Macaca fascicularis: one gene and its partners. The protein of the gene in region 4 binds, or shares a complex with, the protein of the main gene of each other region. Links are inferred from orthologs where the notes say so. Each region holds a gene or a part of one and is shown on either strand. Other genes may lie near its edges. The genes, in order: SF3B4, SF3B2, SF3A1, HTATSF1, SF3A2, SF3A3 and SF3B3.

Region 1 (4,190 bases), on a different chromosome or scaffold from region 4:
GAAAAGAGATCCACATACCATTCTCAATCCCACTGAAATTGTGGGCATTCTCAAAGGCAGGGCAGAGGGGGATCTGGGGTAGAGGACGGTTCTGTCTAATCCTTTTTTTTTTTTTTTTTTTGTTTCTGGACTTGCAGCCTCAGCTTTCACACTCCAGCCCTTAAGTTCACTAAGAAGGTCTGAGTTTCTGCTGCAGATGGTGGTGTTAACTGCTGCAACTCTTGTCCTGTCTTGCTTAGTTCCTACGGATATTTTTGTTTCTTGTCATTTGAAAGATTAAGAAACAAAAACAATCCAGAAATTGATCGGTTTTTTTAGACCAATTCCATCCCTTCTGGATAACCAGATGTTAAATCGTGAGATCAGAGATGCTGTTCATCAGTCCCAACAAGATGGCCTAGAGATCGCATTCTCACCTCGCCTTGCTGCTGCTTTAATTCCAACTTCTATTTCTTCCCTTATAGTTTTCTATGGGAATGAGGCGGATACAGGAAACACCCTGTCTCCTGTGTATTTTTGTAGCGGAATTTTCTATTTAAGGGGCTCATTAAAGCATAGTATTTATACACATTACTGGCATTGTTTCTTGTGTTTGAATAAAGGATTCTCCTAGGTAGGAAAGTGGTGGGTAAAAGGTGGGTATGATCCAAGAGAGGAAAGCATCTACTGTATTATTGCTAAGGAAATAGGGGAACTGGATTTGGTGAGACTCTGCAGAATTCAAGTGCAGTTTGGGGAAAGGATTCTGTGTGTGTCTCCCATTTAGAGGCAGATGGGGCCAGATTGTTCTAGAGATCCAGACTGAAGTCTCTGAGCTCCGATCCTATCCACCCCTCACCTGTGGTCACACACCACCTTGGAGCTGCCCTCACCCTCCCCATGCAATTACGACGAGATGAGCGCAGACGTCACTCCAGCTCAGACATTTCGCAGTCTCCTCCCCTGAGGGAAAACCAAATACCTCCAGCCCAAATCAGGGCTGTTGAGGCCAAATCTGCAAGAAGGTTGCAGGCGAGATGGAGGGTTCCCTCTGCGCCTGAAAGCAGCCAAGTCCTCGGGTTGGGGGGACTCTTCAGCACATCCTTCTCTGGACAACAAAACATCATCACTGGCTACAAAATACATGAAAACTGAAGTTTTTGTTCTTTTAGCTTTCGAATTTACATTTTTGGGAGCAGTGTGATTCTTTCAAGTCTAGCAGTGCATTAAGACGGTCTGAGCCACTAGCAGCGGCACCTCTGCGCGAGTGCCGAGGACTCCACCGCTCAACCCGAGTTAAGTCTTGGAGGATCCTAAAATGGCTGCAGCCGCTTCCAGGCCCCTCCTCTTCCGCGGCTCCGCCCACCGCTACGTCCTCCTTCGCCCCGGAAGTGGAAGTCGTGCTGAGGTCAGAAGGCGGAACCGCTGCTGGGAGACGGCGGGAGCTCTTTCGCCATGGCTGCCGGGCCGATCTCCGAGCGGAACCAGGGTAACTGGAGGGGGAAAGTCTGGAATGGGCTCAGCGTGGCTAGGAGGCCCCTACTACAGCCAGAAGTGCCTCTGCAGGGGTGGGAGACTGGACTCATCCATTCCCCAGAGGGCGCGAGACCGGCCCCGTGCCTCCTGGGGGCGGGGTGGCCAGGTGCTGGCTGAGGCCTGTGTGTGTGATACTTACGTCCAATCCCCTGCTGAGTTCTCACTCAAAAAAACAAAAAAATCCACTCAGAATACTAAATTAGACTTCAGAGGATTCCTGAAGTCCTGGAGAGAGAAGTTTAAGGGTTTAACTTTTTTTTTTTGCTCCTGTCCCCTACCCGCGTCCCCAGTTCCCCCGGTTGGGTTCCATCTTCATGTTTCCATCACCTCCTTCTTTCATGTTATACTCTCACCCTTGCTCTAACTTTCTGCTCCCTCCCTTCAGATGCCACTGTGTACGTGGGGGGCCTGGATGAGAAGGTTAGTGAACCACTGCTGTGGGAACTGTTTCTCCAGGCTGGACCAGTAGTCAACACCCACATGCCAAAGGATAGAGTCACTGGCCAGCACCAAGGTGAGTACATGACAAGGGGCAGTTTGCTTCCGGAGGGTCCCGGCAGTATTCACAACTGTTTTGGAATAACATGAGCAACCTAAAGTATTTCTTTCTTTTAAGCCTCTGTTCAGTTTATTTCTGGAACCATTCTTAAGTGAGATTGTTTCTTTCTTGTTCTTTGTGATTAGAGGGTAGATGAGTTTTACCCCATTTTCAATCTCTTATGTTGTTAACCTCCTCTTCTCCACTTCTCCAGGCTATGGCTTTGTGGAATTCTTGAGTGAGGAAGATGCTGACTATGCCATTAAGATCATGAACATGATCAAACTCTATGGGAAGCCAATACGGGTGAACAAGGCATCAGCCCACAACAAAAACCTGGATGTAGGGGCCAACATTTTCATTGGGAACCTGGACCCTGAGATTGATGAGAAGTTGCTTTATGATACTTTCAGCGCTTTTGGGGTCATCTTACAAACCCCCAAGATTATGCGGGACCCTGACACAGGCAACTCCAAAGGTTATGCCTTTATTAATTTTGCTTCATTTGATGCTTCGGATGCAGCAATTGAAGCCATGAATGGGCAGTACCTCTGTAACCGCCCTATCACCGTATCTTATGCCTTCAAGAAGGACTCCAAGGGTGAGCGCCATGGCTCAGCAGCCGAACGACTTCTGGCAGCTCAGAACCCGCTCTCCCAGGCTGACCGCCCTCATCAGCTGTTTGCAGATGCACCTCCTCCACCCTCTGCCCCCAATCCTGTGGTATCATCATTGGGGTCTGGGCTTCCTCCACCAGGTAAAGCTTTTGGTTAAAATTTGTTTGTCTTAAGGTTGGGGGAGAGAGTCAGGAGGAAGAAAAAAAGAGCCTGAAAGGGGGATGGGACATGGAGTCAGTGAGTGATGGGAAGAGGACTGAGGGGTGATGGTAGTGGTGGAGAAGAAAGTTGTTGGGTTTCTTTAGGAGGGTGAAGTTGGTTGACTTTTCTAACATTGCTTTTGATTTTAGAGCACTGGGAGGAGGGGGAAAGAGCTCACCCTGCCCAGAGAGGCCAGATCAGGACAGGCTCTTTAAAGACATTTTCTCCTCACTACCATTAACTTTTCCTTTTTCCATTTCCTCTATAGGCATGCCTCCTCCTGGCTCCTTCCCACCCCCAGTGCCACCTCCTGGAGCCCTCCCACCTGGGATACCCCCAGCCATGCCCCCACCACCTATGCCTCCTGGAGCTGCAGGACATGGCCCCCCATCGGCAGGAACCCCAGGGGCAGGACATCCTGGTCATGGACACTCACATCCTCACCCATTCCCACCAGGTGGGATGCCCCATCCAGGTAGGTGTGCTTTGTTGGGAGGGAAGAGCTTGGTAGAGCATCTCTGTTACCTCTCACCCTGCTGCCCTTTGTTCCTCAACAGTAACAGTTTCAGAGTTTCCTTTCCTTCAGACATTCTATTATAAAAACATACAAAATACTCTCTAACATCCACCTCCCTGTATCCATTTCTTAAGTTTTTCTGACAAGAAGACTATACTTGCTGGTTTTTATTTCTTTAACCTTTAGTTCCATTCTCTTCTCTGACTCCAGCTCAAAGTGGTGACCTAATTGCCAAATCTCAGGGACACGTCTGCTCCTTATCTAGTTTGACCTCTGATGTACTTGAAACTAGTCGTGTCCTCCTGTTTGAAATTCTCGTCTCTTTTTGCTTTTGCTTTTCTAGATCCTCCACCCCTCTGACTCCTTAATCTCAGCTACCATGATAGACTCTTGTCTACTTGTGCCTAGATTTTTGTGCTTGTTTCTCTTTTCTGCATATATCTATAGTTTTAATTGGGCATATACTGATGCCTCCTAGATCTGTATCTCTAGTCCATAGCTGTTGACATTCCGGATCCTTAATGCTTTAATGCTGCTGCTTAATAGATAGCGTCATTTTTCTGTCCCTCTCCTTCAAACCCATTCTTTCTCTAGCAGTCTTTTTTTTCAGGTGCTTAATTCATGAATCTGAGAGTGATGTTTGACTGCTCCCTATCACCCCACTCTTAATACCAAGTCTTATTTAATATCAGTGGCATCTCTCCCCATGGCCAGTGCCCTAGTTCAGTCTCTCATTCCCTCATTATTTAACACTTAATTTATTGTAGTAATCTCCTTCCACTTGGACTCCAGTTTTCCCTAA
Region 2 (3,500 bases), on a different chromosome or scaffold from region 4:
AGTTGGCTCAGCAGCAGGCGGCATTGCTGATGCAGCAGGAGGAACGTGCCAAGCAGGTAGGGCAGGTGGAAGCCCTGGCCTGGGCCTCATTAGGTCCCTGAAGGGGCAGTGGAGCCTTAAGAGAAAGCTGGGTCCTAGAACTAAGGCTTCTGGGAAGGTGGGGACTAAATATTGGAACATGGGCCCTTGACTGGAAGAGGATCTCAAGAAGCAAGAGTTGTGGCAGATTGGCCCGTTGGGTATTGGTGCTGGTATGAACTTGTTTTCTTTTTTAAGCAGGGAGATCATTCGCTGAAGGAACATGAGCTCTTGGAGCAGCAGAAGCGGGTAATACCCCTCCCCCTAACCTTTGACCTCATGGTCCAATCCATTGGCTGTCATTTGTATTGCTTCGAATGCACCAATCAAGTTTTGTTCCCAACTAAGTACTAGTGTCTTCCAAAGCATTCAATTTTTCTTGAAGTTCAGGAATTGACAGACTATGACCTGTGGCCTGTATGTGCATGGCCTGTGAGCTAAAAACAACTTTAAAATTTTTTAAGGATTATAAGAAAACCCAAACAAAAATATGTACCAGAGTCCATATGGTAATCCATAAAGCCTAAAGTATTTACCTTCCGACCTATTCAAAAAGAGCATGCTGACTTCTGCTCGCCTTACATGACATCATTCTAGATAGGACTCTGGGTAATTGAGTTATTTGTATTGGATTTAGACAAAATAGGACTGTAAGTCTGGGAATGTTATATAAGATATTTGGCCCCAGAGGTGCGTTGCATTAGTCATTACGCAGTGGATTACTCAGGAGTATTAAAAACTGAGCATTAAAAGCAACAAGTATGAGCTGGGCGTGGTGGCTCACACCTGTAATCCTAGCACTTTGGGAGGCTGAGGTGGGCAGATTGCTTGAGCTCAGGAGTTCGAGACCAGCCTGGCCAACATGATGAAACCCTGTCTCTATCAGAAATACAAAAATTAGCCAGGTGTGGTGGCGCGTGCCTGTAGTCTTGCTACTTGGAAGGCTGAGGTGGGAGGATGGCTTGAGCTGGGGAGGCAGAGGTTGCAGTGAGCTGAGATCATGCCACTGTACTCCAGCCTAGGCAACAGAGCCAGACCTTGTCTCAAAAAAAAAAAAAACAAAAAACCACAAGTCTCAACCTGTGGATAAAGTACTGTCTTTGCCCAGATTGTGCTGGATCTTGAGGGGTAGATATAAGAAAAGAGCTCAAAAGTTTCTAATGTATCTTTTGGGGAAGAAAACTCTCTGAAAAGTAGAAGGCACTGTTTGGCTCAATATGAAATTCCCTGCTTGGAACCAGAAGTTTCCTGGGGTTTTCCTTGGTGTTATTTCTAGGGATTTTCCGTTGTGATGAGAGGGCTCCTCCATTTGGATTAGTAGCCTGGAAGTGTGGGGGTGGAGGGGATGTCAGCACCCAAGGGGTTTGTGATTGTTCTCCTTGGGCCCATTACCCGCTGAAAGAATGCATTTGCCAGGGGCTGCCTGCCAAACTAGTTTTCAGGCAGTGTCTACTCCCACTTCCCTCCCGTAGGCAGCTGTGTTATTGGAGCAGGAACGACAGCAGGAGATTGCCAAGATGGGCACCCCAGTCCCTCGGCCCCCACAAGACATGGGCCAGATTGGTGTGCGCACTCCTCTGGGTCCTCGAGGTGAGACCCTGGGATGGAGGGGAAGAGCAAGAAAAGTGATTTAGACATTTTTAAAAAGACTTTTAAAGTATCTATCCCATTTAAAAAGAGCATATATAATAAACATACAGTTTAATGGTTTTTTACACACTGAACACACCCGTACAACCAGCACCTGGACCATGATCAGCACCCCGAAAGCCCCGCCACACGCCCCCCTCCCCGCAGGTTCACCATCGCCCTTTTAGCAAGGGAGGGAATTTTGTATGTGAGTGTTTTGTCTCTTCTGACATTGGATTTCTTTTTCCCGTCTCTCAGTAGCTGCTCCAGTGGGCCCAGTGGGCCCCACTCCTACAGTTTTGCCCATGGGAGCCCCTGTTCCCCGGCCTCGTGGTCCCCCACCGCCCCCTGGAGATGAGAACAGAGAGGTGAGACTAACGATTTCCTCCTAGGTATAAGAGAGTGGTAGTTTAGGAGGGGACTATTTTTGGATTTTTAGAGAAGGGTTCTGTGAGAAGATGGGGGGACTTAAATTCCTGGGGGTAGTGGGGAGCCGTACTTATTTAAACTAAGGGTACAGCAGAGGGATTGGGGAGACATTACTGAGGCAGAGTCTTGGGGTCCCTCTGAGGAACACTGAACCTCACTGAGCCCAGTTGGTGTTGCCCACTCTCTGCTGCTTACATCACCTGGGCAGCAGCCTTTCTAGTCCAAGAGGTAGAAGCTGGTGGGAAAAGGGCACTGTGATTCGCCTTCTCTGACCGGTTGTCTCTGGCAGATGGATGACCCCTCTGTGGGCCCCAAGATCCCACAGGCTTTGGAGAAGATCCTGCAGCTGAAGGAGAGCCGCCAGGAAGAGATGAACTCTCAACAGGGTGAGTGCCAGGCGTCCTGAGGCTGTAGCCACAGAACCTGGAGAGGCTGAGCTGAGTCCTCGTCCCTCTGTCCCTTTCCCTTGCCTCTTGGTAAAGGCAGGTTACTGTGAATGAGTGCAGGGCGCAGTGGCACCATGAAGACTCGTTACCACCTTCTTCCTTACAGAGGAAGAGGAAATGGAAACAGATGCTCGCTCATCCCTGGGCCAGTCAGCGTCAGAGACTGAGGAGGACACAGTGTCCGTATCTAAAAAGGAGGTAGGGGTTGGAGCTGAGTCTGGAAGGAAAGGCAGGAGATGGGACTTGGGTACGGAAATAACACAGTTTATAAGTGTTCAGTAAGTAATAGCTTCTGTTTTGTGCCAATTTCCACCCTCAGCATCTTACAGATATTTTTCATTTAATTGCTTTTGAGTTTCAAGTACTATGCATGCCTACATTTTACAGCTGAAAAAGCTGAGGTTCTGAGACGCACAGTAATTTACCCAAAGGCACACAGCTTGTGAGTGGCAGAACTTTGGAGTCTGCCTCCAAGGCCCCTTCGCAGCCACTTCATGAGATGGCCTCCGAAAAGCCTGACCGTTGAGCTGTGGGGGAGACCGGGGGAGGAGTTTAGGGGTTGGGGTGCTGGCACAGTACTTGGATTCCCTGACCCAGCTGGTTTTCCTCCTCCTGACAGAAAAACCGTAAGCGCAGGAACCGAAAGAAGAAGAAAAAGCCCCAGCGGGTGCGAGGGGTGTCCTCTGAGAGCTCTGGGGACCGGGAGAAAGACTCAACCCGATCCCGTGGCTCTGACTCCCCAGCAGCTGATGTTGAGATTGAGTATGTGACTGAAGAACCTGAAATTTACGAGCCCAACTTTATCTTCTTTAAGAGGATCTTTGAGGCTTTTAAGGTACAAGGAGAGCGTGCTCGGAAGGGGCAGTGCCAAACAGGGAAGGGGCTCAGAGGTGGGTGCGAGGCAGCAGTGAACAGGCA
Region 3 (4,047 bases), on a different chromosome or scaffold from region 4:
GGCTTTCCGGAGTTGAGGAGGGGAGGAAGGGGGTGGGGATCTCAGGAGAGGGAGAGAAAGCCGGCAGGAGTCGAGGTAGGCCTCTGGGGAGCGAGCTGCATAGCTTGCAGGGGCGCACCTGTGAGAGTGAGGGGTGAAGCCTAAAGCAGCAGCCCTGAGTGATGGCTCATGCGTGTAACCCCAGCACTTTGGGAGGCCAGGTGGGAGGATTGCTTGACTCCATGAGTTTGAGACCAGCCTGGGCAACATAGGGAGACGTCCTCCCACGTCCCTACAAAAAAAATTTTAAAACTGGCCGGGCGCGGTGGCTCACGCCTGTAACCCTAACACTTTGGGAAGCCGAGGCGGGAGGATCATTTGAGGTCAGGAGTTCGAGACCAGCCTGGCCAACGTGGTGAAACCCCGTCTCTACAAAACACACACACACACACACACACACACACACGGCCGGATGTGGTGGGCGCCTGCAGTCCCAGCCACTCGGGAGGCTGAGGCAGGACAATTGCTTGAACTCAGCGATTGAACTCGGGAGGCGGAGGTTTCAGTGAGCCAAGATCGCGCCACTGCACTCCAGCCTGGGTGACAGAACAAGACCTTGTCTCAGAAAAAAACAAAAAAGAAAGAAAAAGCAGCAGCCTTGATTTGAGAGGGAGGCCCCAGTGAGGCTTGAGATCAGGACTACGGAAGGCAGGGGGTGGAAGCAAGAAAAGGCAGGCCTATGGGAAAAGGGAATTAAGGGCGTAGGATTTGGAAGAGCGGCTTGGAGGATGTGGGCCTGAAATGAAAGGGGGGACTAAGGGAATAGGGAAGCGGGGCTCTGAGGCGGCGAGCCTTAGGGCACAGGGGCTCTCCGAAATGAGAGGCCAATGGGAGGGAGCTGGGCTCTTGGAAGGCGGTGTCGAAGGGAGCGAGGCACTGGCACTGAGCGAGGCACTGTAGAGTAAAGGAGGCGCGAGCTGAGTGCGGCGGGGGTCCGGCGGGTGACGTAGAACATCTCACCTGTCTTCGGCGTCGCGGTTTCAGCCTCTGTATCCGGTCAGCTCCGGGAACTGCCCCCGGCGCGCCTGCGGCTCCCGGGAACCCCGGAAACCCCTAGCCCGGAGCTCCAGCCGCTGCCTTGACAACGGCGTCGGATGCCGCGGTGCCCGCGGGGAGGAGCAGGAAGCGCGCCACGGCGAGGGGGCGGTCCCGGAAGTGCGTCAGTCTTACCTTCGCGGCCACAACTCGCTCGGCTGCCGCCATTTTGCGAGCTCGTCGTACTGTTCGAGCGGGGAGGCTGTCTTGAGGCGGCACTCCTCACCAACACCGAGGCGGACTGGCAGCCCTCAGCGTCGCAGTCATGCCGGCCGGACCCGTGCAGGCGGTGCCCCCGCCGCCGCCCGTGGCCACTGAGCCCAAACAGGTACCTCTCCCCCGCCCCTCAACCTGCAGCCGGAGCGTGGGCCTGGGCGCTACTTACTTGAGCGGGAATAAGCGGCCGCTATGAAGGGCTTGGAGGGACTGCAAATCCCAGGAGGCTGCGCGCTTCCCGCGCTATGGTGGTGGTTCTGGTAACGAAACCAGCTGCTCTGAACGGGGTTCTCAAAGTGGTCCGCGGAGCAGCCGCGTCGGCACGAGCCGAGAGCTTAGAAATGTGGAGTCTCCGCCCTAGACCTTTTAAATAGGGATCTTACATTTGAACAAAATCCTAAGGTGATTGATTTGTAAGTGTGAGAGGCGCTGATCCAGCCCATCCTCTGATCTTCTGTGGCAGTTGGGGCCACCGGCCCCAGCCTTTCCCCAGTAATGCCCACTTTCCCAGCCTGGGCGGTACATCTTTGGATGTTAATTCTCAGCATCTATTTCGGTGTCTGCCCCAAGCCAGACACCGTGCCACGCTCCCACGTTACCGGAATGAATAGGGCACGGGGAGCTCACAGGCTAACGAGAAGACAGATACACGAGAATGCTCACCAAATGTTTATTGTTCCGATGGCCGTCAATGATACAGTGTCAGCCCGCCCTTAATAAACCTCTCGAATCTCAAATGTGTATAAACCATTGTAGTACGGTGTGATATGCCCTGTGATAGAAGTTTCAGGTACAAATCTAGTCAACATTGCTTGCTGGAGTAGAAGGGATATTAAGGTAGGGAAGCCCACGGGAGTGAGAGGTAAATTTCTTTTAGAAGAAGGAATGGGAGTTTGCCAGGCAGGTGACTAGGGAAGGGAAATAACATCCTTTATTCATCCAGCAAATATTTATTGAGCATATATGCTGATCATTGCTTTGGGTTTGGAATGAGGGGGACATGACTGAAGAAGCCATGCCTTTTCCACAGATATTTAAGTACCTGTGTGTCCCTGGCATTTTCCCAGGCGTTGGGAGAAAATAAGGTAATGGCCAGATAATATGCACAAAGACACTGAGTTAAGAATCAAACGGTGTCTCTGATCAAGAGTAAATGAACAAGTGTTGAAGCATAGAGCGTGGTGACAGGAGATGCAATTCTTTCTTAGGATTTGAACGTTTCCTTGTAGACAATGGGAAGAAAAGGGAGAGTTTTAAGCCAAATAGTGACATTTGTGTTTCAGAAATTCAGGTAGGCAGGCATGTGGAGAGTCACTACGAGGAGGGGAGGCCAGTCACGCTATTCCAAGGGGCTGAAGGCCTGGCCTAGATTAGGGCAGAGGGGTGGGCAGGCTTTCCAGCCAGAGTGGTGTGTTAGAATTCTGGTTCTGCCAGTTGGACATTAAGCTCTCCATCTCTCAGTTTTGTCATCTGTAATGTGGAGATATTAAGAGTACTTGGCCGGCCCAGTGGCTCACGCGTGTAATTCCAGCACTTTAGGAGGCCGAGGCAGACAGATCACTTGAGGTCAGGAGTTTGAGACCAGCCTGGCCAACATGGCAAAACCCTGTCTCTACTAAAAGTAAAAAAAAATTAGCCAGGTGTGGTGCATGTTTGTAATCCCCACTATTCGGGAGAGAATTACTTGAACCTGGGAAGCGGAGGTTGCAGTGAGCCAAGATCATGCCACTGCACTCCAGCCTGGGCGACAGCAAGACAGAGTCTCAAAAAAAAAAAAAAAAGAGTACTTAATCTTATAGGCTTCTTATAAGAGTTATAAGAATTAGTATATTTAAAGTGCTTGGGAAAAATACCTGGAATCTACTCAGTGCTTGATAAAAGTTTTTTTTAAGAGACCGGGTGTCGTTCTGTCACCCAGGCTGGAATGCAAGTGTTGCAGTCGTAGCTTACTGAAGCCTTGAATTCCTGGGCTCAAGCAATCCTCCTACCTCAGCCTCCTGACTCACCGGGATTATAGGTGCAAGCCATTGTGCCCAACTTGATCAATGTTATTATTATTGAGTGTGGAAGCTGAGGAAGAGAGAGGAGCCCCAACTTTGTGGCATGGACGACTGAGTAGCTATTCCTGAGGAAAGAGGTTAGAGATGAAAGTGCCCAGTAGTTAGCTGGACCCGAAGCTGTTCAGTACGCAAGAGTGTTCTGGGACATCAGTTTGGGCCAGATTGTATAGAGGCAGGAGGGGAAGTGGAGGACACTGTCAAAACTGAGAAGAGAACCAAGAACAGAATTGGGCGGTGGGAGCGGGGATCTCCAACTTCACAGAGCAGGAGGTGAAACAGACCAGGAAGGAAACTTGGATGGAATGGTGAGCAAGATGGGAAGACAGGTAAGAATGGGGTCTAGGAGTTGAGAGTTTTCATGAAGGAGTGGTCACCATTCACACCCAGATAATGGCTGTGGGCAGTCGTTTTTGACTTTGTCAAGAGCACTTAAAATGAATGGGGACCAAATGGGAGGCAGGGAAGTGGGATCAGCAAACTGAAGAGAACTCAGGATGTTAAGCTGCCAGAGGATGGGGCGGGAGAAGGCAGCGGCAGAAAGGAACATGGAGGCAGAGGAGAAACTTCATTTTTCTAAGATAAGAGATTTGACCCTTTGTTTACTAAGGGGAAGAAGCTGCTGGAGAAAAAATATTGGTACTTATGGCATAGTTAATGCTGAACATTCCAGTGGAATTTCACAAAACACCTGAGCATT
Region 4 (4,120 bases):
AAGACCAAGATAAACTAACTCAAATCACTACCCAGCTTTCAAAGGATTTAAATCTTTTGACAAATAATTAGTTTTAGAGCCCTATCTGGGAAAAATGATGGCCAGTTTATCTTGATTCTTTATAACTCTGACACCACCTTTAAGAAAAAACTCACCTTATTCCTTCAAAGCTATTATAATTCTCGGAAAAGCAACTGTACATATGCACACCCATATTTTTAATTTTTACACTTAAAATTTGTAAGCCAGAACCACTTACCTGACTCAGCCTTTCTTTTTTCTCCCTTCTTTCTGGGATCAGTGGGTTCTGAGGCTTTTTCTTGTGGAGGTTCCTCTGCAGTTCTAGCATGGACATCTTCAACATTTGCGGTAGAACTAGATGCGCCATCATTAGAGAAGCCATAATTGGCCTGATATGTAGCAATGAAATCTTCAGTGATCTAAACAAGCAATTCAGCAGACCCAGACAGAGAAATTCAAAATTATTTCCACCCATAAGAAGTTTAAATTGTTTTTACAGCATGGTTACACAACTTAAAACAGAAGTGTTTCTGTGGATAATAGTTGTAGTTATTAGAGTATAAATGCAATAGTCATCTTATATAGAAAATTGTGCATGCGGTGATAAAAAATAAGACACGAGTACTTAGACGATCAATGCAAATGTCTGAGATATGATTTAAAGCATTTTAAGTGATGCTGGCACCTTTTCTAGTTGTTTCATTTATAAATTACTACCTCTCTACAGTCTACTTAACTAAGGCTACAAATACATACAACAAAGGAAGTACCAGATAATAAAACAATAAAAACCAACAGTCAATGAATAATCTAACCACAGAATCCACTTTTCTCTTACTGTACACATGCACAAATATACGTGTACAATAAGTACTTAAATATCTGTATGCAGAGAGCACGTAGAACAGAACTCTGACTTGGTATATAAAGAATGGAGTTAACAACTGTAAAACTAAATGCTCATTTTAACTTTATCACAAATTAAGACGTTATCTTTTAGTAACAGAACAAATTAAAGACAAATCCAACTCATATCTATCTTCCTCCCCTTTGGGGGAAAAGCGTTATTGCAAAACTAAAGAAATATAGTTATACCATCATACCAATCAACATTAGGCACGCATGGAATGGGGAAAATGTAAAACCCAAAGTTTGAAGAGGTATGGGCTTCAATAACATAAAAAGATAAAGTCACACATTAATCCATTATCACACCTTTGTTAAAAGTATTCAGAATGCTGAAGAAACCAAATCTGCACTCAAAACTAGTACTACCAATACAGAAGTGAAATCGTAAATTTTAACAATCTGGAGGCATTGGAATATGTATACAAATACAGAATGGGAAAGAAAAGTTGCAAAAGAATTTTTAAAACAGCCGTCCAGTCGCGCAATGGAGACAGGTTTTGTATTATTGGCTTGCAAGTCAATTTGCGTGCTACTAGTGTGCCCTTTCCTGCTCATGAGAGCCAGATTAAAAGGGCACTTTTACCACAAAGTTTACAGAACCAAGTTTAACATTACTTATTTTACTTCGAAGCTGAAATAAAAATACTTAGCAATTTCCAAGTACTCCAAACAAATATACACAGATATTTTCCATCTGTATTCTGTGCGTCTCCAGTCTTATTCCTGTGGTTATATGGTTCAAACATATATGCTTAGGGACAAAATTTGCTAGGAAAGTAAAGCAAGGTGCAAAGAAAGTTCAATTAGTAAAGATATGTAAACAGCTACTTTAAAAAAATCAAGAAACTGCATTTTGCACATAGTACATAAGCTAAACATCTGAGTTCCTAGGACAAGTGGGGTCGGCTACCAGAAATGGACAGCTACTAAATTTGCTCTTGGTGTTTTTCCTCTTCGCAATAAAAAGCAGTCATCAATGTAATTACCAACTGTGACCTTCACAGACAAGATTAATAAAGCATAGAAAAAACTTAAAAATTACATTTAAGACACCACCCTAAAGATTTACGTTCCTTCACACATCGGTGCCCCGACAAACACAACAAAAAGAAGCGCCGCTATCCAAGGGGGCTAGGACCAAGGACCAAGGATCTCAGCAAAGCAAACGTAAGAGGAGTGCTCCGCGAGGCTGGCCAGGCGACCCGCTCTGCAGTGGCGCCCGTGGCACTCTCCTACCTTGGGGAACCAAGCCTTCTTGTCCAGGTCCCACTCGTAGGGGGTGTCCGTCGGCTGCTGCCCGAGAGAATCGGTTTCTCCGCCGGCATCGGTCTGGGTGTCACCATCCTTGCCGTCTCCGTACAATTCTTGCATTCGCAACTGCTCATCAAACTCATCGTTCCCATCCAAGTTGCTGCCGCTCATGTTTCCTACTCAGCTCAGGAGAAGGGTTCAGAAGAACTAAGAGGCCGAAATGACGCTGGAGCTGAGCAGAAAAAGGGAGGTCAATCGCGCTCTGCTCGCGCCCCGCCGCCCCCCGGCCCGCCTCCCCGCGGCGCCCCAGCAGTCCCCGGGAAATCGGGGCCGCTCGGCTGCCGCACCGCCCCCTGCTCTGCCCGCCCACCGCGCGCGCGCGCTGATGCTGGGAGCTCGGCCGCGCCGCCGCCCACCTGGCTTGCTCCGCTGGGCCTCGGCACCGCCGCTAGGTCCAGGGCGCTGCGGGAGCGCGCAGGCGCGCCGCCGCCGCCGCCGCCGCCGCCGCCGACCGGGTCTAAGGCGACTGCGGCTCCCTCGGCAACGTCAGGATATTACTTGTAAACTAAGCCCTGCTCAGGCCAACGCAGCCGCCATTGTCGGCGCGTCGCGACGTCGCGGGTCGCGCCGACACGCCCACTGTGGCGTCAAAAGGCGCCGACGCCGGCACGCGGCGCGAGACCCGGGGAGGCGGGGCGCCGGAGAGGGGGGAGCGCTACTGCCGGGCGTCGACGCCCACCGGGTTCGGCCTTGGGGCGGGGCGAGGGCCACTGGGATCCCCTGACGCCTCAAGGGCCTTGAGGTCCGCGGGGTTCCCGGCGAATCGGCCGGCCCGGGAGGGAGACGGAAGGAAGGCGTGGGAATATTCCCTCGCGGAGGTGGCCGGGCGGGTGTCGCGAGGACGCCATCTTGGGGGAGTGGGTGGGGCGGGCAGGACAAATATCTCTGGCTTCGAGAAAACGACGCGCCTCCTTCGCCCAAAGGCCCCTCCCCCGCGCAGGAACCGTGTCTTTTACTTGTTTCTTTCCGACTCCCTGGGATGGACACCGGATATTGTTCTTCTTGGTGACCTAAGCTCCTGGCACCGGCTCTGGTGTCTAATGCGGAATGAGCGAATGAATGAACGAATGAGGGGTAAAAGGGCCAACTTTTTTTTTTCTGGTGTCAGCCTTCTCCTTTATCGGTCTCATACCTTCCTCTGGCTGGAGTTTGACTCCATGGGAAGGATGGGAGGGGCTGCAGTTGCCTGCCTCTTGTACTGCAGGATTCAGTGGCGCTCGAGCTGCGAACTTGAAACTTAGACATAAATGTAAACATCCCAGTGTAAACACCAGCTTTACTGGCCGGCAAACTCCGCTTCTTTGTCATTGTTTTAGAAAGACACAGCATACTTTTGTTCTAAACAGAACTTTGTTTTCAGGAATTACACTCATTGCTGAAAATGAAAAGGTCCATATTTTTAAGTTGGGCAGGTATTTATCCAGCCCCTACTAAGTGCAGGGTTCTGCACGAGGCTCTGGCGACCCAGGAGTCGACAAGACAGGCACAGCTCAGGGGAGACAGAATTAGGATGGTTGGCAAATGACAGATATGAGATGCTGGAGGACAGCAGTTCTCAAACTTTTTGGTCCCAGGTCCTCTTTACACGAAAACATTGAAGACCCCAAAAAACGTTTGTGGATTATACTTACCAATATTTCTGCACAAAAATTAAAGCGGCCGTTAAAAAATATTAATTCATTTAAAATAATAAGGAACTCATTAGTGTAACCATAAATATCACAACCCAGGCTTGAGGGTGGGGAAAACCTTCCCAGAAGAAATTATTTCACTATTCCAGTGACCTTCACTTCTAAACATAGCAGTTGAGTACTACTTCTAGAAAATCCTGGCTCCCCACGTACCAGCTGTGTGAATCTATGGTTTCAACGATAACAAT
Region 5 (2,181 bases), on a different chromosome or scaffold from region 4:
CTCCCCACAGCGATAGAGCTGGGCCTGATTTGTCAACATGCTGTCCTTGAGGGCCCGTCCCCAGAAGGCACAGGAGTGGGAACCAGGCTGGGAGTGATGGCCAAGCAGCCAGACTAGACAGCGCTGGGGGCGGGGGGCCCAGATGTCCTGGGTGCTAAGGGGTGGGCCTGGAGGAGGAGGGTCCCAAGTCAGTGGGGGCGCCCTGTCCCTGCTCACCCTCCCAACCCCTGGTAGGCTATCTGGAGACCCCAAGGATATCACAAGAGTCTGCTCTTCCCTCCCCAGGACAGGACCCCAGACCCCCTCCTAGCTGGCTGGTGGAGTCTGTCCTCCACCAGGCCACCTCCAAGGTACAGCTGTCTCTCAGGCCTCCCACAGGTGTCTCCCGGCAGGCCCCAGGCCCTCCCCAGTCGGCGCAAACTCAGGGATGGTGCTGTGCCTGGCACTCCCACACAGCACTGACAAGGGAGGGCGGCGCTGCAGACATCAGTGCACTCGGGGCTGGGGAAGGCTGTTTAATGAGCAGGGGGCGGTACAAAAGAGCAGCCTTCTCTCGATGGCAAAAGGCAGGAGCACCTGGCGCTGAGCTTGCTGGGGGAGGGAGCAGCTTCTCAGTTGGTTGGGGGAGGGGGAGGTATGTTCCCTGGGCCTTCGGAGGGGAGTGGGGGCCTCAGCATTGGGGGCATGGGAGTTGGGGGGTGTACCCCAGGATTTGAGGGGTGAACTCCAGGAGGCTGAGGGTGGACCCCAGGAGCTGATGGATGGACCCCGGGAGGTTGGGGGTGGACTCCCGGGGCCTGAGAGTGCATCCCTGGGGCTGGTGGGTGCACCCCCGGGGCCTGAGGGTGAACAGCAGGGGCTGCTGGGTGTACCCCTGGGGCCTGGGGGTGAACCCCCGCTGATGGGGGAGGATGGACCCCCGGGGCTGGTGGGTGAACCCCAGGGGCTGGTGGGTGGACTCCAGGGGCTGGTGGGTGAACCCCGGGGGCTGGAGGGTGAACCCCGGGGGCTGGAGGGTGGACTCCGGGAGCCGGGGGGTGGACCCCAGAGGTTGGTGGGTGGACCCCAGGGGCTGGGGGATGGACGCCAGGAGCTGGGGGATGGACCCCAGGAGCTGGGGGATGGACGCCAGAGGTGGGGGGATGCACCACTGGGGCCGGGGGGTGGACCCCTGGAGCTGGCGGGGGTAGCTGGGGTGGTCCCGGGGGCCCTGAGGGTGCAGGCCCCGTGGGGGGCATGGGTGGCAGAGGTAGGCCTCCCGGCGGTGGCGGTGGCAAAGACTCGGGCAGCGGTGGCCGAGGGGGCAGACCATTCATCAGCGGAGGTGGAGGCCGCTTCACCCCAGGGGGGCCGGCGGGGAGGCTGGGCGGAGCCGGGGGCTTCTCCATCTTAAAGTGGAACTGGAGGAAGAACTAGAGAGACGGAGAAAGGTTCAGCAGGCACGGGCAGGGCTAGGGCCACCGGGGCTGGGCAGGAAGGAGCCAAGCTCAGGGCTAGCCACTCACCTGCTTGGTCTCCCGGTTCCAGTGTGTCCAGAACTTGCCCTCCGCCTTGTCAATCTCTCTGCTCGGCACCTGGGAAGGCGGGGGACAGAGAGGGCTCCTGGTCCCTGTGACCTCAGGGTAGCCATCAGGCAGGGAGCCTGAGGCGTTAGCCTCCCCGGCCCGGACTCCACCCTGGGAGCCCAAGAGAAGGCCCCGGCCTGGTAAGACTTTCGATGGGCACAGGGTTCAGTTCTGGAGTGACACAGACCCGGCCTCCACGCTAGCACACGCTAGCCCCCGCCCTGGACAGGCACCGTTTGTATTGTTTCCTGATGGCTGCTTTGTCCAGGCGTAGGCACAGGCTGTGGGAAGCCCTCCAGCAGCCTAGACCAAGAAGCGAGGTCACTTGGCGAAGGCCTCACAGGCCCAGCGCTCAGCCCTGCCGGCCTCCCTTCTCCATGGGCACAGTGGAGCCCAAGCAGGCCCCCTCCTGCAAAGCCCAATGGGAGGGGTACCCTGCCCAGCCTGCACAGACCCTTCTGGCTCCGTCTCGGGGATCCCAGGGGACCCCACAGCCTGATAGGAGGGGCGCCCTGCCCAGCCTGTGCAGATCCTTCTGGCTCGCACATCTCAGGGGGCCCTGGGGCCCAGGGGACCCCGCAGCCATGCTACCTTGAAGGCGATGGTCTCATAGGGC
Region 6 (3,500 bases), on a different chromosome or scaffold from region 4:
AGACCATCTGGCTAACACGGTGAAACCCCATCTCTACTAAAAATACAAAAAAATTAGCCGGGCGTGGTGGCGGGCGCCTGTAGTCCTAGCTACTTGGAAGACTGAGGCAGGAGAATGGCGTGCACCTGGGAGGCGGAGCTTGCAGTGAGCCGAGATTGTGCCACTGCATTCCAGCCTGGGCAACAGAGCGAGACTCCGTCTCAAAAAAAAAAAAAAAAAAAATTAGCCGGGCGTGGTGGCGCATGCCTGTAATCCCAGCTACTCGGGAGGCTGAGGCAGGAAAATCACTTGAACCCGGGAGGTTGTGGTGAGCTGAGATTGTGCCGTTGCACTCCAGCCTGGGCAAGAAGAACGAAAGTCCGTTTCACAAAAAAAAAGCATTAAAAAGATAGCATTACTAGAATTATAAGTACTATATATTCTACAGGGAATAACAAGATAGCAAAAATAGAAACCCTTTTTGCTTTCTCTGCATTGTATGTTCCTCTGTAGATACCTAGAGATGCTGCTCGAGTACCTTCAGGACTACACAGATAGAGTGAAGCCTCTCCAAGATCAGAATGAACTTTTTGGGAAGATTCAGGCTGAGTTTGAGAAGAAATGGGAGAATGGAACCTTTCCTGGATGGCCGGTGAGCTTCAGTGGGGTGTGAATGATGGACATGCCAAGGAATTGAAGTAATTATTTTCCTTTATCTTGAGCTTCCACTTTAGGGCATTAGGTATCAATTCCTTGGTATCACTTGTGACAATGAGGTATTCCCTGCCAAGTATGCTATGTTTTTTTGTTTGTTTGTTTTTCTTTTTCTTTTTTTTGGAGATGGAGTTTCGCTCTTGTTGCCCAGGCTGGAGTACAATGGCAGGATCTCGGCTCACCTCAACCTCCACCTCCTGCGTCAAGCAATTCTCCTGCCTCAGCCTCTCGAGTAGCTGGTATTACAGGCACCCGCTACCACACCCAGCTAATTTTGTGTTTTTAGTGGAGACGGGGTTTCTCCATGTTTGTCAGACTGGTCTCAAACTCCTGAGCTCAGGTGATCTGCCCACTTCAGCCTCCCAAAGTGCTGGGATTACAGGCATGAGCCACCGCACCCGGCCGTATGTGAGGTTTTTTTGTGTGTACTTTGGAGCAAGACTGTCAGGGTCCACTTGCCTTTGACTGTGCCCAGATTTTCACCAATCACATCATTACTGTTACGTGGTTCCTGCCAACCAAGAGCCTATCAGATCATATGTTAGGAATCTACATTCTCACTTCTGGGGATAAACATGGGTTTTTCCTGAACTCTCCAGGGAGAGAATGTGGACCAACCTTACCTTCATCCTAAACCTGGTGGTTTGTTTGTTTGTTTTGTTTTGCTTTGTTTTGTTTTTTGGGAGACAAAGTCTCCATCTGGCTTCTAGTCTGGAGTGTAGTGGCATGATCATACCTCACTGCTGCAGCCTCAACTTCCTGGGCTTAAGAGATCTTCCTGCCTTGGACTCCTGAGTAGCTGGGACCACAGGCACATGCCACCATGCCCAGCTAATTCATGTGTTTTTTTTGTAGAGATGGGATTTCACCATGTTGCTCTGACTGGTCTCTAACTCTTGAACTCAAGCAATTCACCCATCTAGACCTCCCAAAGTGCTGAGATTACAGGTGTGAGCCACCACGCCTGGCCTAAACCTGGATCTTAATAAATACCATATTGTTCTTTCCAGAAAGAGACAAGCAGTGCACGCCTGGCCTAAACCTGGATCTTAATAAATACCATATTGTTCTTTCCAGAAAGAGACAAGCAGTGCTCTGACCCATGCTGGAGCCCATCTTGACCTCTCTGCATTCTCCTCCTGGGAGGTATGTTTCCTTCAGCAGTAGTACTGTTCTTCCTGTCTATTTTTCTATCTTTAAAGACTGCTCTGCTGTCTTTAATACCATGGTTGTGTTGTGATAAGGCACTATTTCTTGGGATCAAGCATCTACAAAGAAAGTAGCAAAGTAAAAAGAAAAAAATTACTACATGGGAAACTGAAATAATCATTCTAACTACATTAAGCTGTAGTAAAGTAAATGGAACACTACCAGTATGGTTAAGTCTGAAGATAATTACAGATTCAGTCCTCTGGAGAGTTTAGACTTACTGTCAGATTGGCTATGAAATGTGTGGTCCTGCCACAGCCTCAGGAACACCCACCCTCTGGCCTGCATTTGGGGTTTCCCAAAAATCTGTTAATGTAATATTGTAATTTTTCTCTTCTTTGTACAGGAGTTGGCCTCTCTGGGTTTGGACAGATTGAAATCTGCTCTCTTAGCTTTAGGCTTGAAATGTGGCGGGTAAGGAATGGTTTTTCTATCAAAACTATTCAATTTGCTGTGTGTTTGCACAGTCTTCTAAGTAGCTCTAATTCCATTTTTTTTCTGTTGCTCCACACTGCAAAAACAAGCGAGCCTCTGTGGTAAAGTAACCCTGAAATCCTTTGCCATCCTGTCTCCTTAGGACCCTAGAAGAGCGAGCCCAGAGACTCTTCAGCACCAAAGGAAAGTCCCTGGAGTCACTTGATACCTCTTTGTTTGCCAAAAATCCCAAGTCAAAGGGCACCAAGCGGTGAGTGGCTGGGGTAGCACTGCTGCTTGTGGCTTTTAAATGTTATTCCCATGCCGAATTTTTAACCACAGTGGAGACTTTAAAGCCTGCTTTATCCCCGTTATTGGTCGACAGAGATCCAGTCTGCTCTTTCTCTTTGCTAATAGAGAATACTATCACTGTTAATATAAACAAAGGACTGTCTGTATTCATCTGATTGAGAGCACATCAAGTTTCTAAGTTTGAAACCGTGTTCTTGGCACCTTTAATAGGTTATAGAGGCTAAAAGGCTAAATAGGTTCAAGAACTATTTTTCTAAGCTTATTTTTGGTAAAGTTGAATCTAATTCTTGAGCTACATACTTAGACAAGGTATTTTCTTTTTTTTTTTTTTTTTTTTTTGAGACAGAGTCTCACTCTGTCGCCCAGGCTGGAGTGCAGTGGCCGGATCTCAGCTCACTGCAAGCTCCGCCTCCCGGGTTTACGCCATTCTCGTGCCTCAGCCTCCCGAGTAGCTGGGACTACAGGCGCCCGCCACCTCGCCCGGCTAGTTTTTTGTATTTTTTAGTAGAGATGGGGTTTCACCGTGTTCGCCAGGATGGTCTCGATCTCCTGACCTCGTGATCCACCCGTCTCGGCCTCCCAAAGTGCTGGGATTACAGGCTTGAGCCACCGCGCCCGGCCTAGACAAGGTATTTTCTTTTTTTTTTTTTTTTTTTTTGAGACAGAGTCTCACTCTGTCACCCAAACTGGAGTGCAGTGGTGCAATCTCAGCTTACTGGCTGGAACCTCCACCTCCTGGGTTCAAAGGATTTTCCTGCCTCAGCCTCCTGAGTAGCTGGGACTACAGGTACACACCACCACATATGGCTGATTTTTTGTATTGTTAGTAGAGATGGGGGTTCATCATGTTGGCCAGGCTGGTCTGCAGCTCC
Region 7 (3,500 bases), on a different chromosome or scaffold from region 4:
CTGAGGTGATTTTTATTCACAAAGGCATCCACTTTATTTTATGAAGCACAGTCACTACAGATACCATATATGTTCAGGTAATTGCAGTGTTCACAACAAATTTGGGATTGGGCGCTTTATTATCATTAGAGTGATTAAAAAAAAATCTTGACAATCGTTTGTGTTTCATTGGTGAGAACTAGAATTGCCATGAATTGTGGTAGGGTGTTGCCAAATGGGAAGGCCCTTCCCGGATCTCTCTGTCTGCAGTGCAGTTTTCTAGATTAGGAGGCTGTTGTTTAATGTTGCCTAATGCCAGCGTTAGAGCTTCAGGGATTGATGTGTTTACTGACTGCTCAAAGCCTATTTCACCACCAATTTCTAGGTCCTGAGTGAGTATTAAGTAACTGCCTTGCTTTTCTGTCATAGCATTTTGGCATTAGAGAAGCTCGGTGCTGTCTTCAATCAAGTAGCCTTCCCACTGCAGTACACACCCAGGAAATTTGTCATCCACCCTGAGAGTAACAACCTTATTATCATTGAAACGGACCACAATGCCTACACTGAGGCCACAAAAGCTCAGAGAAAGCAGCAGATGGCAGAGGTAATGAGACTAACGTTCAGGGGTTCTGTTAAAAGATTTGTGAAATTATGTTGAAAAGTTTAAACTGCTCAGCACTTTTGGAGGCTGAGATGGGAGGATTGCTAGTTTGAGACCGGCCTGGGCAACATAGCAAAACCGCACCTCTATTAAAAATTTTGAAAGATAGCCTGGTGTGTTGGTGCACTCCTGGTATGTTGGCACACTCCACTGCATACCAGTGGCACTCTGGACATGAGACTCTGTCAAAAGTTTAAACTCCTGTAATTGTTGTTATATTCTTTGTTTTTAAAGATCTAGGCTCTTTTCAGCTTCTTTAAGCAGAGGCCTTTGCCCCAAAATACTTCATGTTAGAGCCTTTCTTGTAACCCAGGACTATACTCTGACCTCCATTTATTCACAATTAAGTTCCCTCTCTGAAACAGAATTCTCCAGTCTTTGAGCTTCCAAAATAGACTGTATTTCCTGGATTTGGGCCCAAAGGAGACAGCTTTCATGTTCTCCACAATACCAGCTCTTTCTAGAACTCATTGCCTAGCAAAAACCAAATAGCTAAACCACATAGAACTGTATCCAGCCTTAAAGAGTGGAGACAGAGTAGTCTTAGTAGGGGAAATCAGATGGGTTGGATTAAAAAATGGAGTTTCTGGCCGGGCGCGGTGGCTCAAGCCTGTAATCCCAGCACTTTGGGAGGCCGAGATGGGCGGATCACGAGGTCAAGAGATCGAGACCATCCTGGCTAACACGGGTGAAAACCCATCTCTACTAAAAAATACAAAAAAAAACCTATCTGGGTGAGGTGGCGGGCACCTGTAGTCCCAGCTACACGGGAGGCTGAGGCAGGAGAATGGCGTGAACCCGGGAGGCGGAGCTTGCAGTGAGCTGAGATCCGGCCACTGCACTCCAGCCTGGGCAACAGAGCGAGACTCCTTCTCAAAAAAAAAAAAAAAGAAAAAACCCCTTGGAGTGTTCTTGCTACCTATCCTCTTCTCAGCCAGCCCCTACCTCTGAACATGCCAACTCAGTTGTTTGGTTTTTTGGGTTTAGGAAATGGTGGAAGCAGCAGGGGAGGATGAGCGGGAGCTGGCCGCAGAGATGGCAGCAGCATTCCTCAATGAAAACCTCCCTGAATCTATCTTTGGAGCTCCCAAGGCTGGCAATGGGCAGTGGGCCTCTGTGATCCGAGTGATGAATCCCATTCAGGGGAACACACTGGACCTTGTCCAGCTGGAACAGAATGAGGCAGCTTTTAGGTAAGGAGCCCAGGACAGTTCAGGGTTTGGTAGCCTGGAACAGGAGCTCTCTGGGTTTTGACGAAGGCCTTACTCTTGCCTCTTACTCTGTGTGTAGTGTGGCTGTGTGCAGGTTCTCCAACACTGGTGAAGACTGGTATGTGCTGGTGGGTGTGGCCAAGGACCTGATACTGAACCCCCGATCTGTGGCAGGGGGCTTCGTCTATACTTACAAGCTTGTGAACAATGGGGAAAAACTGGAGTTTTTGCACAAGGTAGGAATCAGCCAGTGAGTGGTTCTCCTAGATCTTAAGTCCTATTGAATTCTCTTACTTTTGCTTATGTTATGGGTCAGGTCTTTTGGGGACCAGCTCCTTGATTCCAATCCATCTCTTACCAGCACATGGAAAATCCTGGGGCCTTCTAGCTGCGGTGATGCTCTTGTGCCTGTGCATTCCACAGTAAGGCTTTGTGCTAACCACCCATAATGGGGAGATGGATGCACATTGAATCAGTCCCTTTCTTACTGTTTTAATAAGTGGGCAACAATTTGTGACCAAAATTCAGCAGTTTAAATAATTAATATTCTGGCTGTGTGCGGTGGCTCACACCTGTAATCCCAGCACTTTGGGACCCGCCCGACCAACATGATGAAAGCCCGTCTCTACTAAAAATATAAAAATCAGCCAGGCATGGTGGCATGTACCTGTTATCCCATCTACTTGGGAGGCTGAGGCAGGAGAATCACTTGAACCCGGGAGGCGGAGGTTGCAGTGAGCTGAGATTGTACCATTGCACTCTAGCCTGGTTGGCACAGTGAGACTGTCAAAAAAAAAAAAAAAAAAGATTTAGTGTTCTTTTCCATCTGCCTTCTCTGGGAAGTTACTGTTTAATGGGTACAGAGTTTCAGTTTGGGAAGATGAAAAAAAAGCTGGAGATGATAGTTACACAACAGTAAATGTGCTTAATGCCACTGAAGTGTATACTTAAAAATGACTGGGCATGGTGACTCATTCCTGTAATCCCAGCACTTTGGAAGGCCGAGGTGGGCGGATCACCTGAGGTCAGGGGTTCAAGACCAGTCTGGTCAATGTGGTGAAATCCCATCTCTATTAAAAATAAAAAATCAGCCAGGCATGGTGGTGGGCGCCTGTAACCCCAGCTACTCCAGAGGTTAAGGCAGGAGAATTGCTTGAACCTGGGAGGCAGAGGTTGTACTGTGCTGAGATTGCGCCACTGCACTCCAGCCTGGGCGACAGAGTGAGACTCTGTCTCAAAAAAAAAAGGATTAAGATGGTAAACTTTATGTTATGTCTGTTTTACCATAATTATTAAAATAAAAATAATATTCTCCTCCACACTGACAGCATGTGGATTCCTTCAACCCTACCATAAGGGGAGTATCCTCTAAGAAATACTTCATAGACCCTTTTGCGTATAAAATTTGTCTCTCCTTTACAACTGAGATGTCACTAGGCTGGGTGCAGTGGCTCACGCTTGTAATCCCAGCATTTTGGGAGTCTGAGTCGAGCAGATCACTTGAGCCCAAGAGTTTGAGACCAGCCTGGACAATGTGGTGAAACTCAGTTTCTACAGAAAATACAGATAATTAGTTGGGCGTGATGGCACATGCCTGTAGTCCCAGCTACTCGGGAGGCTGAGGTGGGAGGATCACCTGAGCCCAGGAA

Evidence for each region.
Region 1: HTATSF1 (region 4) and SF3B4 share a complex: the UniProt entries of both Homo sapiens proteins name them as parts of the 17S U2 SnRNP complex. The link is inferred for Macaca fascicularis from reciprocal best matches to the Homo sapiens genes HTATSF1 and SF3B4.
Region 2: HTATSF1 (region 4) and SF3B2 share a complex: the UniProt entries of both Homo sapiens proteins name them as parts of the 17S U2 SnRNP complex. The link is inferred for Macaca fascicularis from reciprocal best matches to the Homo sapiens genes HTATSF1 and SF3B2.
Region 3: HTATSF1 (region 4) and SF3A1 share a complex: the UniProt entries of both Homo sapiens proteins name them as parts of the 17S U2 SnRNP complex. The link is inferred for Macaca fascicularis from reciprocal best matches to the Homo sapiens genes HTATSF1 and SF3A1.
Region 5: HTATSF1 (region 4) and SF3A2 share a complex: the UniProt entries of both Homo sapiens proteins name them as parts of the 17S U2 SnRNP complex. The link is inferred for Macaca fascicularis from reciprocal best matches to the Homo sapiens genes HTATSF1 and SF3A2.
Region 6: HTATSF1 (region 4) and SF3A3 share a complex: the UniProt entries of both Homo sapiens proteins name them as parts of the 17S U2 SnRNP complex. The link is inferred for Macaca fascicularis from reciprocal best matches to the Homo sapiens genes HTATSF1 and SF3A3.
Region 7: HTATSF1 (region 4) and SF3B3 share a complex: the UniProt entries of both Homo sapiens proteins name them as parts of the 17S U2 SnRNP complex. The link is inferred for Macaca fascicularis from reciprocal best matches to the Homo sapiens genes HTATSF1 and SF3B3.

The regions. Positions count from the first base shown.
Region 1 is NC_088375.1:111,352,029-111,356,218, forward strand, and holds the start of SF3B4 (splicing factor 3B subunit 4), read left to right. Parts: upstream 1-1,390; 5' UTR 1,391-1,434; coding exon 1,435-1,468; intron 1,469-1,900; coding exon 1,901-2,029; intron 2,030-2,267; coding exon 2,268-2,810; intron 2,811-3,139; coding exon 3,140-3,346; intron 3,347-4,190. Other genes in the region: MTMR11 (myotubularin-related protein 11), read left to right, coding at 1-82. UniProt on the Homo sapiens protein: Component of the 17S U2 SnRNP complex of the spliceosome, a large ribonucleoprotein complex that removes introns from transcribed pre-mRNAs.
Region 2 is NC_088388.1:8,334,892-8,338,391, reverse strand, and holds part of SF3B2 (splicing factor 3B subunit 2), read left to right. Parts: coding exon 1-56; intron 57-276; coding exon 277-327; intron 328-1,550; coding exon 1,551-1,668; intron 1,669-1,965; coding exon 1,966-2,075; intron 2,076-2,425; coding exon 2,426-2,522; intron 2,523-2,688; coding exon 2,689-2,780; intron 2,781-3,201; coding exon 3,202-3,417; intron 3,418-3,500. UniProt on the Homo sapiens protein: Component of the 17S U2 SnRNP complex of the spliceosome, a large ribonucleoprotein complex that removes introns from transcribed pre-mRNAs.
Region 3 is NC_088384.1:21,310,762-21,314,808, forward strand, and holds the start of SF3A1 (splicing factor 3A subunit 1), read left to right. Parts: upstream 1-1,247; 5' UTR 1,248-1,339; coding exon 1,340-1,402; exon of another isoform or gene 1,403-1,484; intron 1,485-4,047. UniProt on the Homo sapiens protein: Component of the 17S U2 SnRNP complex of the spliceosome, a large ribonucleoprotein complex that removes introns from transcribed pre-mRNAs.
Region 4 is NC_088395.1:142,629,745-142,633,864, reverse strand, and holds the start of HTATSF1 (17S U2 SnRNP complex component HTATSF1), read right to left. Parts: upstream 2,801-4,120; 5' UTR 2,598-2,800; intron 2,414-2,597; 5' UTR 2,353-2,413; coding exon 2,167-2,352; intron 441-2,166; coding exon 260-440; intron 1-259. UniProt on the Homo sapiens protein: Component of the 17S U2 SnRNP complex of the spliceosome, a large ribonucleoprotein complex that removes introns from transcribed pre-mRNAs.
Region 5 is NC_088393.1:2,906,510-2,908,690, reverse strand, and holds the end of SF3A2 (splicing factor 3A subunit 2), read right to left. Parts: coding exon 2,157-2,181; intron 1,575-2,156; coding exon 1,506-1,574; intron 1,413-1,505; coding exon 612-1,412; 3' UTR 501-611; downstream 1-500. UniProt on the Homo sapiens protein: Component of the 17S U2 SnRNP complex of the spliceosome, a large ribonucleoprotein complex that removes introns from transcribed pre-mRNAs.
Region 6 is NC_088375.1:196,936,349-196,939,848, forward strand, and holds part of SF3A3 (splicing factor 3A subunit 3), read left to right. Parts: intron 1-492; coding exon 493-631; intron 632-1,770; coding exon 1,771-1,839; intron 1,840-2,248; coding exon 2,249-2,316; intron 2,317-2,479; coding exon 2,480-2,587; intron 2,588-3,500. UniProt on the Homo sapiens protein: Component of the 17S U2 SnRNP complex of the spliceosome, a large ribonucleoprotein complex that removes introns from transcribed pre-mRNAs.
Region 7 is NC_088394.1:69,774,367-69,777,866, reverse strand, and holds part of SF3B3 (splicing factor 3B subunit 3), read left to right. Parts: intron 1-408; coding exon 409-583; intron 584-1,627; coding exon 1,628-1,833; intron 1,834-1,930; coding exon 1,931-2,087; intron 2,088-3,500. UniProt on the Homo sapiens protein: Component of the 17S U2 SnRNP complex of the spliceosome, a large ribonucleoprotein complex that removes introns from transcribed pre-mRNAs.